2 linked regions of the Saccharomyces cerevisiae S288C genome follow. The gene in region 2 interacts genetically with the main gene of each other region. Each region holds a gene or a part of one and is shown on either strand. Other genes may lie near its edges.

Evidence for each region. Genes that interact genetically often act in the same process or in processes that back each other up.
Region 1: mutations in PDE2 (region 2) and PDE1 impair growth when combined (synthetic growth defect), as found in Saccharomyces cerevisiae (8 studies listed by BioGRID, with this or other methods).

Annotation. Positions count from the first base shown.
Region 1 is NC_001139.9:33,818-37,956, reverse strand, and holds PDE1 (3',5'-cyclic-nucleotide phosphodiesterase PDE1), read right to left. Parts: upstream 2,305-4,139; coding exon 1,195-2,304; downstream 1-1,194. Other genes in the region: RAI1 (decapping nuclease), read left to right, coding at 1-340; BRR6 (Brr6p), read right to left, coding at 431-1,024; ZIP2 (Zip2p), read right to left, coding at 2,745-4,139. UniProt on the Saccharomyces cerevisiae protein: Controls the level of cAMP in yeast cells, together with the high-affinity cAMP phosphodiesterase (PDE2).
Region 2 is NC_001147.6:1,012,124-1,017,134, forward strand, and holds PDE2 (3',5'-cyclic-nucleotide phosphodiesterase PDE2), read right to left. Parts: upstream 2,699-5,011; coding exon 1,118-2,698; downstream 1-1,117. Other genes in the region: VTS1 (Vts1p), read left to right, coding at 1-637; PRT1 (translation initiation factor eIF3 core subunit b), read right to left, coding at 3,238-5,011. UniProt on the Saccharomyces cerevisiae protein: Controls the level of cAMP in yeast cells, together with the low-affinity cAMP phosphodiesterase (PDE1).

The DNA.
Region 1 (4,139 bases), on a different chromosome or scaffold from region 2:
GATCATATATGGTTTTAAAGACGACCATTATGTATTAAAAACTGTGGAAGAGTTTTCAACGGAGGAAGTACCTGTTTTATTAAAGAACAATAATCCACAAGTTGGAAGTGCATGTTTAGAAGCCATTAAATGGTATGGTCTCCTTACTGAGTGGCTTTTGAAAATGATACCAAGAGATGAGGATCCTCATTCTCAAATAAGAGCATTTAAGTTGGTTTTCGAAAATAATCACCTAAGATTATCCGAAATTGAAGAAAGTGATGAGGAATATTCAGGTTTGATTGATGGAGAACATATATTATCGAACGGGTTTAAGGAGTGGAGAAAATCTTTGAAATAACAATATTCCTTTATGTCTTTCCTGCGCATATCCTCATCGACGTATGGATCTAAATAATATAAATGTGCAGATTAGATTAAGTTATATACACTATGCATGGCGAACCGATTTTGTATCTTTATTATTGAGATAAACCCTGTATGATCCGAAACTCGTATTGGTAACAAATATTATACCTATTATGCTAATTAAAATGAAAAGGAAAGATCGTATACTGAACGCTTCAAAAAAAGCATTTATTACCTCCGCCAGAGTACGAGCCCATGCTTTAGCCCATTGGTAATCGGAGCCAGACACTATTTCCTTGTTCATACATTTTGACCATTCATTGCAACGTACCTCCAATGCTGGAACCCTCATATGAGGTTCGCACTGGTTTTCAAAATACCTTGATTTGCAAGTTGCAATTTTATCTAATTCTTCCCTCACGTTATGCTCCAGTTTTAAGTTAACATCGTTTCTTATCATCAAAATGAATTTAATAGCAAGAGACAGTCCTATAGTTCCTATAATAAAATTGAAAAAAAGCTGTATATACTCCGCAATTAAACTTGGGCTCAACCAAATGCTTTGTCGGGCTAATCTAGCATCTTGCGGATGTTCACCTTCCAATACTTCCTCCCTTCCCAATCTTGGGTTAGCAAGTATGCCATCAGGCTGTCTAGAAAAACTACGGAGTTCCATTCCGGGACTTATGTTGGGATAGGGGATTCAAAGATGAGTCTACATAAGTTAACTCATCAATAATAATGGAAAGAAGTTTCATTAGTTACTACTAGTATTTTGCTTGCTCCCGGGTAATGAATTTTTCCGCTTTTCATCTACGTAGTATTATGTTATTGACGTTGTGTACATTATAGAAACAAAGTGTGGCCTTCTAGCGCAATAGATATTCTCAAGTCTCCTAAGTTCCTCTCCTCAGCTAAAAATCGTAACTCTTCGAGTATGGTTAGTCTTGGGTCTCTTTTAGCAGGTGTTGACTTAACGTGAGTAACGATAACATTCAAACCGCTTAATCCCTTACTACTGTTGTATAAAGTGTTCAAATTGGATAATTCGTTGATTAAATATATTGGAGATAGATGACCATACAATTGCTCGGGCTTGGAAGATAATGGGCATGAACATTCGACTAATATACCCTTGAGATGCACAAGCGGTATATTTTCAGCAACGTAAGACCAAAATTCTTCAAGTAGAGATTCTTCAGATTCTCTGCGGTCCTGCTCAACATCTCCGCAAACTATTATACAGTCTTTGCTTTTCCTGTCTCTGAAGATATAGAAGGTGCTGTATACCGGCGCGCCAGTCTTGACGCCTATCCCATGATGAACTTTGAACGGTATTACATCCCAAGGAAAGATAGTGCACTTTTGAACTTCCTTCGGATTCAAGCATTTTAGCTTCAATTTTCTTGAACGTTCTGCCGTTAAATCTGGCCATATTAAGTCATTAAAGACATGCTTTTGCAAAACGTCAATAGTATGCGGTAATCCCCAAATAGTTTTCTTTTTACTGTTTTCCTGCTCATATATTGAGGGGGAGTTTACTACCAGCCCACTAATATGGTCCAGATGGGGATGGGTAATGTAGTAGTCGGTAATTCCTTGGAAAACCTCGTAAGTTTTCTTCATTGTATTGGCGCTTTCAAAATGCTCTCCCTGCCTCTTTAATGATTGTAGCAAGGACTTGGATAATCCCTTTTGTATGTTCAGTTTGGAATCAATAAAAAACTCTATTGGCTCTCGATCATGTTCATAAAAGCTTGGAACAAGCTCATCATCACCTTCATTTTCATTTCGCCCTTGGACCAACATCTCCCGTAGCTGGTACATTCCTGCACCACCGTCTACAGCTATTAATTCTGGATCCTCTGTTCTAGCAGGCTTAAGTATAAAACACTGTGTTCCGTATTCGGTGGGTCCTCCATTGGCCCCAAGTATAGTTATTTCGAATACAACCATAAAAAGGAATATTGGTAAAAAAGGGGATGAAGAAGAAGAACCTCGTTAAAAGCCACTTTCTCTTGGAAATTTCTAAAAATATAAATTTCAGATATTGCTTCCCTCGAAAATGGAAAGGGTTTGACTATTGGTAATTTTTAGTTTCAAGTCACGCACCCTCACCAAAAAGTGCATCTTAATCAGTAACTCATTTTCCGTGCGGTATTTTTTTCGGGTTGTTTATTGTGACAGATGTAATATTATACATACGTTAACATATGATCTACAGATACTCCGATGATCCAAGGGTATAAAAAATAAGGTAAGGGTTAATTAGGTGGCTAGTTCATGTTAATAAATACATTTTCCTTGGTTGAATTTACTAACTGTAGCATGTAGTCGAAGAACGAAAGAGGCAGGCGTAGTATAAATAGTTTACCGGGTAACGATCCTTGCTGGATTTACCATTCTAAGGTTAATAACTTCTTCAGGCGAGTCATTTGTGAAACCGTAAGCATTTTAACAGCTTTGCTTTCTTCCTTTATTATTGCCATAAAAAATTCTTCGAGACTATATGTCTGGAAAATTTTCCGTACTAAGAGGATGTTAAATCCCAAATCTAGAAGAATATCGGCATTTGCAATATTTTTTTCTTTCTCATCGTTATATGAAAAGGCCCATCTTGCAATGAAATATTTCATCCAATCAATAAAAAAGTCAGTAGTCTCATGAATGAAAAAAACATCAACACGTGAATTCAATAAATAAAGTTTGATTTTCCAGAAAAGATCAGGATCAACGTCTTGTATTATTTCAGAAAACTCCACAATTATAATGACTCTCTGAAATTCAGTTAAAAGATCGTTTACCGCTTTATCGTAATGCAATGAGCCGTTATTTCTGAGTTGCATAAATCGGCTCGCCTGAATTTTATATACACATGTTGAATGGTTTATAATGAAATCGCATTCGCCAAAGTAAGATTGTTCGATAAGGTCTAGATGGGAATTTTTACATAATGACTGAATTACCTTTTGGTTCTCAATCACCTTGTTTTCATTTACGGCTATGCATTTATTCTCAATATCTTCTTCCAATATTGAATGCTTTACTGAGTAGTTATTAAATGAGCAATCTTCCTTTCCATTGTAAACTGAATTAGAGGTAGGAATTTCAATATGAGAATTTGCATATGTCCCAGAATTTATCAAGTATGAAGTGGAAGATATACCGGTGTCACTAACATCCTTGTCCTTCTTTATTTTTTTTTTGGTGACTAACATGGACATTAGTTCATTATCGATGAAAGATCTCTTTTGAGGAGCTAATGATGTATTAATATCCGCCTTAGATGAAAGACAATCATTTTCATCAAATTCTTGGGTTTCAATAGCAGTTTCATCGTGTCTTTCACTTTCTTCAATTGACTGATTTTCAGTTTTTTTTACATCTGGCATACTCATTGCAAGCTTTATACTACCAAACGTCTTTTTTTGATTATCGATCAGGTCAAGGGAGCCGGAATCTAATTTTTGAAAAGTTAACCTTAATGGTTTGATCGAATAGGCCTCCCTATTTATGGTAACATGCTCAAATATTGCATACCTAGAATGATTGCAAATTCTTTTCAGAGGATCCCATACCAAATCCTTTAGGTCTTCTTTTTCTAGACACCATATTTTATAGTTCTTTTTCTCAATTGGCTTATTCTTTTTCAATTTTTTCATTCTTATTTTAAAAAATTCTAGTTTATTAAATTGAGCATCAAAGAGTTCATCATAACGTTTTTCAAACGTATTAAGCTGTTGATCATGTTCTGGGACTTTCACAACCCAGCTTTGCGAACTGGTCTTGAA
Region 2 (5,011 bases):
TGAGCCTCATGTTAATTCAAGCCCAAATCTCATTCCTGTCCAGAAACAATTCAACAACGGTAACAGTACCAAATATAAAAAGTTGCCATCAGAGAATCCCAACTATCTTTCTCACTCTCTCTCAAGTTCCCATTCTTTTTTCCAACCAAAGAAAAGGTCTAACATGGGAAATGAGTACAATTCTCATCACCATCATTCATTGCATCATCCTCTGCATAATACCACCTCATATTTTTCGAATACTTCAAGACCATCAGGAACTGATTTGAATAAGTCCAACCAGAACGTGTTCAATAATACCATTACGCATCCTAATGCTGGTCCTACAAGTGCCACATCGACATCTACATCATCTAACGGAAACACTCCTTTATCGAGTAACTCTTCGATGAATCCAAAGAGTTTGACAGACCCCAAGCTACTAAAAAATATACCCATGTGGTTAAAATCGTTAAGACTACACAAGTATTCAGATGCCTTAAGCGGAACCCCGTGGATCGAATTGATTTACTTAGATGACGAGACTTTAGAAAAAAAAGGCGTTCTTGCCTTGGGTGCAAGGAGAAAATTGTTGAAGGCTTTTGGAATCGTTATTGATTACAAAGAACGTGATTTAATTGATAGATCTGCTTATTAAATCTGGCATAATAAAGTTGATTGTCTTGACGTTGCATAAAGATTTAATTTTTATTTACTTTGCATATACCAACACAGGGAACATATTTCATTTATTTTGTAATTTTAACGTTTTCTTTTATGGAGTTTAATATTTTAGATTACACCTGTTTTTGCACCGTTTAATGGCATAAAACTATTTACTTAACTTTTAACTCGGGAAATATGTATCACTATACTAAAAAACATTAATTTAATCAAAGAAAAATAAATTTAATGTATGTATCTATATATATATATATATATCACTTAAAACAGACAATAGCCATAATCAACTGGGTTATTATTATACAATATTAAAGGAAGAACGCATATTTGAAAAAAAAATAAAATGGGTAATGAATTTTAGCACAAATACTTCACAAAAGGAAATATACTAGTAGTAAATGTATATATTTATATGTTTATACAATGAATGGTACAAGAAATTTTGATATTCTTGCTATTGTGGTTTCTTGTGTTTCATCCAGTATTCTTTATTGATTTTGACATTATCGCTTAAAAATTTTAATCCTGAGAATTTTTGACTTAATGCGTTGAAAAATACTTCAGCAAACGTATTAATGAAAAATATTTGACCGTTTGGAATATGCGGATGGTCTTTGATAATATCATCAGGGTCTGTTACGTTCACCAAAATATTTTGAATTGATTCCAAATCTTCTTTCGGAGAATCAACATTCTTGTATGAATCGCCAAAACAGTCTTGTTCTGGGCGGTGAGCTTTATGAAATGTTTCCAAAAGAGCGCAATCATTAAATTCGAGAGTAATGAGGTATGCCCAACGTGCTGATATTGACAAGGTTCTCGTCACATTAGAGATGTCTGCAGCTTTAATAATTAGAGATATCAAAGTGATTTGTTTCATTGGGTTTTCATGCATTAATCTATCCTCATACTGAGAATGCAATGCCATATCTGTGGCCAGAATAGCCTCGGAAATAAAATCAAATTTTTTTTTGGAGATAGATAGCAATTGAGGCCAATGCTCTGATAGCAATTGTTGAAATAATTCCCTGTGAAAATTCTCCAAGATAGAGACATTTTTGAAATTTTGAGCAACCTCTGATTCACAGTTGCACAATAGTTGATTGTTAGTCCCAGGATGACCGACATCATGACCTATGGCAGCCATACACAACAGTAATGTTTGTACAGGATTATCTTTAAGAAGATATGTACACAATCGCCATGTGGCTTGCATGACATCGATGGCATGCCTAAAATTGTGAAATTTGTTAACTTGATGATAGGATGATTCTAAAGTAAATAGTAGTAGCAGTAACTTATTATCTGCAATGAGTACTTTTGCATCCTTAGATAACTTTTTGATAAGCGTGAACCCGCACCAAATCAATTCTTGAGTGCTTAATGATAAAGCACAAAAGTCCCAAGTTGATAGAATGTTCCAATAATGTGATCCCTCTTGAGAAATTTTTTCTATTGGATCTGACAAAAAAGACATAAACTCGATGTTGCGAATTAGCCTTGGCACTGATGCCTTTCGTAAATGTTGTGCCTTGGAATCATTCAAATGCAATAATAAAGTGTAAATGTTTGCTTCACATGCTTGAGTGGGGACAGAATTCCCATTTACAGTACCATAGCTGTTTTTGTTAATACCGTCTGGAGTATCATCATGATGGTGATACATCCAGTGGTTAATTCTCGTTATTCTATTACGACAGATGCTATTTTCACGCTCAACACATTCAAGACGTTGCAGGTTTTCCTCTCGTGTATGATCTATCGCAGAAATATTGAAAGATGGGAAAAATCGCTTGAATAGAACATCCAATTGTCGCACAGATAATTGAAATTTTGAAGGGTCATAAAGAACTATAGATACGCCCGTTTCAAAGTTATGGACGTTTGGAAAAGGCGAAACTCTGTCCTTATACAATGCTACCATCAGAGAATCCAAATCTTGAAGCTCAATCACTCTATCAAAATAGTGTTCATTCTGTACAATTGTTTGAGATTTCTCAATCTCGTGTATTCCAATCAGAAAAAGGGTGGACATATCAATAGGTTATGTTTTCTTCAATTAAGTAGTAGTGATCTCAAAAAGAATGTCTGGATACTCTAATTAGTGGCTAATAAAGCGTCAGTGCAAAAGATAAAGAGGGACAACAAAATAATTTAAAAGAAAAACGCAAAATAGTCGGTAACTCGTGCTAAAACCAGTAACGACAGCTAATATCAGGAAGATCCCACTTTATCTCAAATTTGCGCTTTTTAGTCCAATCTCTCACAGTGACTATAGTTTTCAATTTGCAAGTATATTCTCTCTAAGCCAATTTTTCTTCTTTATAATGCCTAAAACAAAAAGAAAAGAGGAAAAATTGTGCCCAGTAAAAAGAAATTCTCGGAGAACAAAAAAAGAAAAGTGCAACTAGAAAAGGACGCAGGACCCTTTTATAATTTTGTACGAGGAGAGCGACCCCTGCAGATTACAAAGATAATAGAGCCTATTGTAGTATTTATGAATATTAGACTAATTCTCATACTTATACTAGATATTGTTGTTAGTTTACATACAAGCCCGTAAGTTCATGAAATTTATTCGACCTTTTCCTTTGTTTCTTCCAAAACTTCTTCAACTATCTCTTCGATGGTGGTAAAGTCATCGCTGGCATCTTCTGGTTGAACGTCAAAGATTTTGAAATTCATAGATTTTTCCATTTCTTGGCCAATTTTTTCTCTATATTCGGTCCATTGCTTCAATAATTCACGTTGGTGTAGAATCAAATCTCTCATGGCGGTGTCAGCTTCCATTGCATCTTGCTCTTCGAATTGGGCAGACCATTCCCTCAAGTTTTTCCTAACCTTTTTCCTTTCGGCGTTAGACAAAATGGAAGCTGGCCTTGGTCTCCAGGCAAAGTTCTTGAAGCCAGCAATGATGTCTTCTTTAACTAAGTTACCAGCAATATTGAAAATTTTGTAACCATGCTCCACCTTGTGTTTCAAAGAACTTGACCATGCGGTAACGTATCTACCAGATGGATCCCAAGTGATATTAGTAGCCGCAGAGTAGGTAGGATGAGCAACATCTTTCAAAGAAGCTGAAACATCATTATTGTCATTAATATTCTTTTCACCTGGATAGTCCATATCGTAAAATTGTAGGTCTGATCTACGCATGTTTGGACCCACTAAAGCACCTACAACCACAAATCTACCCGCTGGAGACCAAGAAACAGTGTTGGCAAAAGTTTTTGGAATTTCTTTGACCAAGCTCCATCTTTTAATTACGTCAGTCTTTTCTTTAGTTTCTGGAGCGTAAAATCTGATTGTATTTGCTGGGATAGCATAATTCATATCAGCTACTTCATGAACAGAAATTGTAACAAATCTATTTCCGTGGGGTTCCCAACCGAATTCAAAGACACTATCTTTCAATTCAACCTTTTCAACTGGTATATCTCTTTCAGTCAACCTACAAATTTGTAGATTACTGAATTGAGTCTTACCAGACTTTGTGTGACGTTCGACATTGAAGCACAGGAACTCAGCTTGGTTTTGCCAGTGCAGAGTTACGTTGGAGACTTGAACTAAGTTAACGGTTTTTAGCACTCTACCGCGAGGAACTTCAGCAATGGTAGCAGTACAAGCGGAATTATTAGTCTCAGGAGTCCAATAAGCCAATAAAACAGAAGGCTCGTCACCGTTTCTGAATGGTTGTAATTTAACACCTTCTGGAGCAAATGAGAAATCTCTAATACCAGAAGGCTTCAAAGCCTTAGCTTCTAATGGCATGAAGTTTTTAGTAGCATCGTGAACTATTAAACTGTCTCCAACCATACGAGCACAATATTTATCATTATAAGACCATCTAACTAAAGGCCATTTCAGATATGGGCTCTTTATCACTGGGAAAGTTGCCATCAACAGACCAGAAGCAATGTCCCAGATGCATAATTGATGACCCTCATTTTTCTTGGTAAATGGAGAGAATTCGTTATCTTCTTCTACAATGATTGGTTCCGTGGAGAAAGTGACCAGGTACTTTTCATTCGGAGAGACGGAAGAGTTTCTTACATCTGGATGATAGAATCTTCTCAAACGATCGAAGTTTGGACCACCCCATGCAGTTACACCCTGTTGATGGTAAGAAAACAAATAGGTACCCTTTGGGGAGAATCTAACATAATTGGTAGACCAGTTCTCTCTAGATTCCACCAAAGAATCTTCTTCATTGAACATAGAGTTCCAGAACACACTAGTCTTCACGTCATCTTGTAATACAAACTGATCTCTCACTTTGTCGTCCATTAACCAGGATTTTAAGGAACTAGATGGAACGAATGTAGGCATATCAGGCTCCCTGAATTCG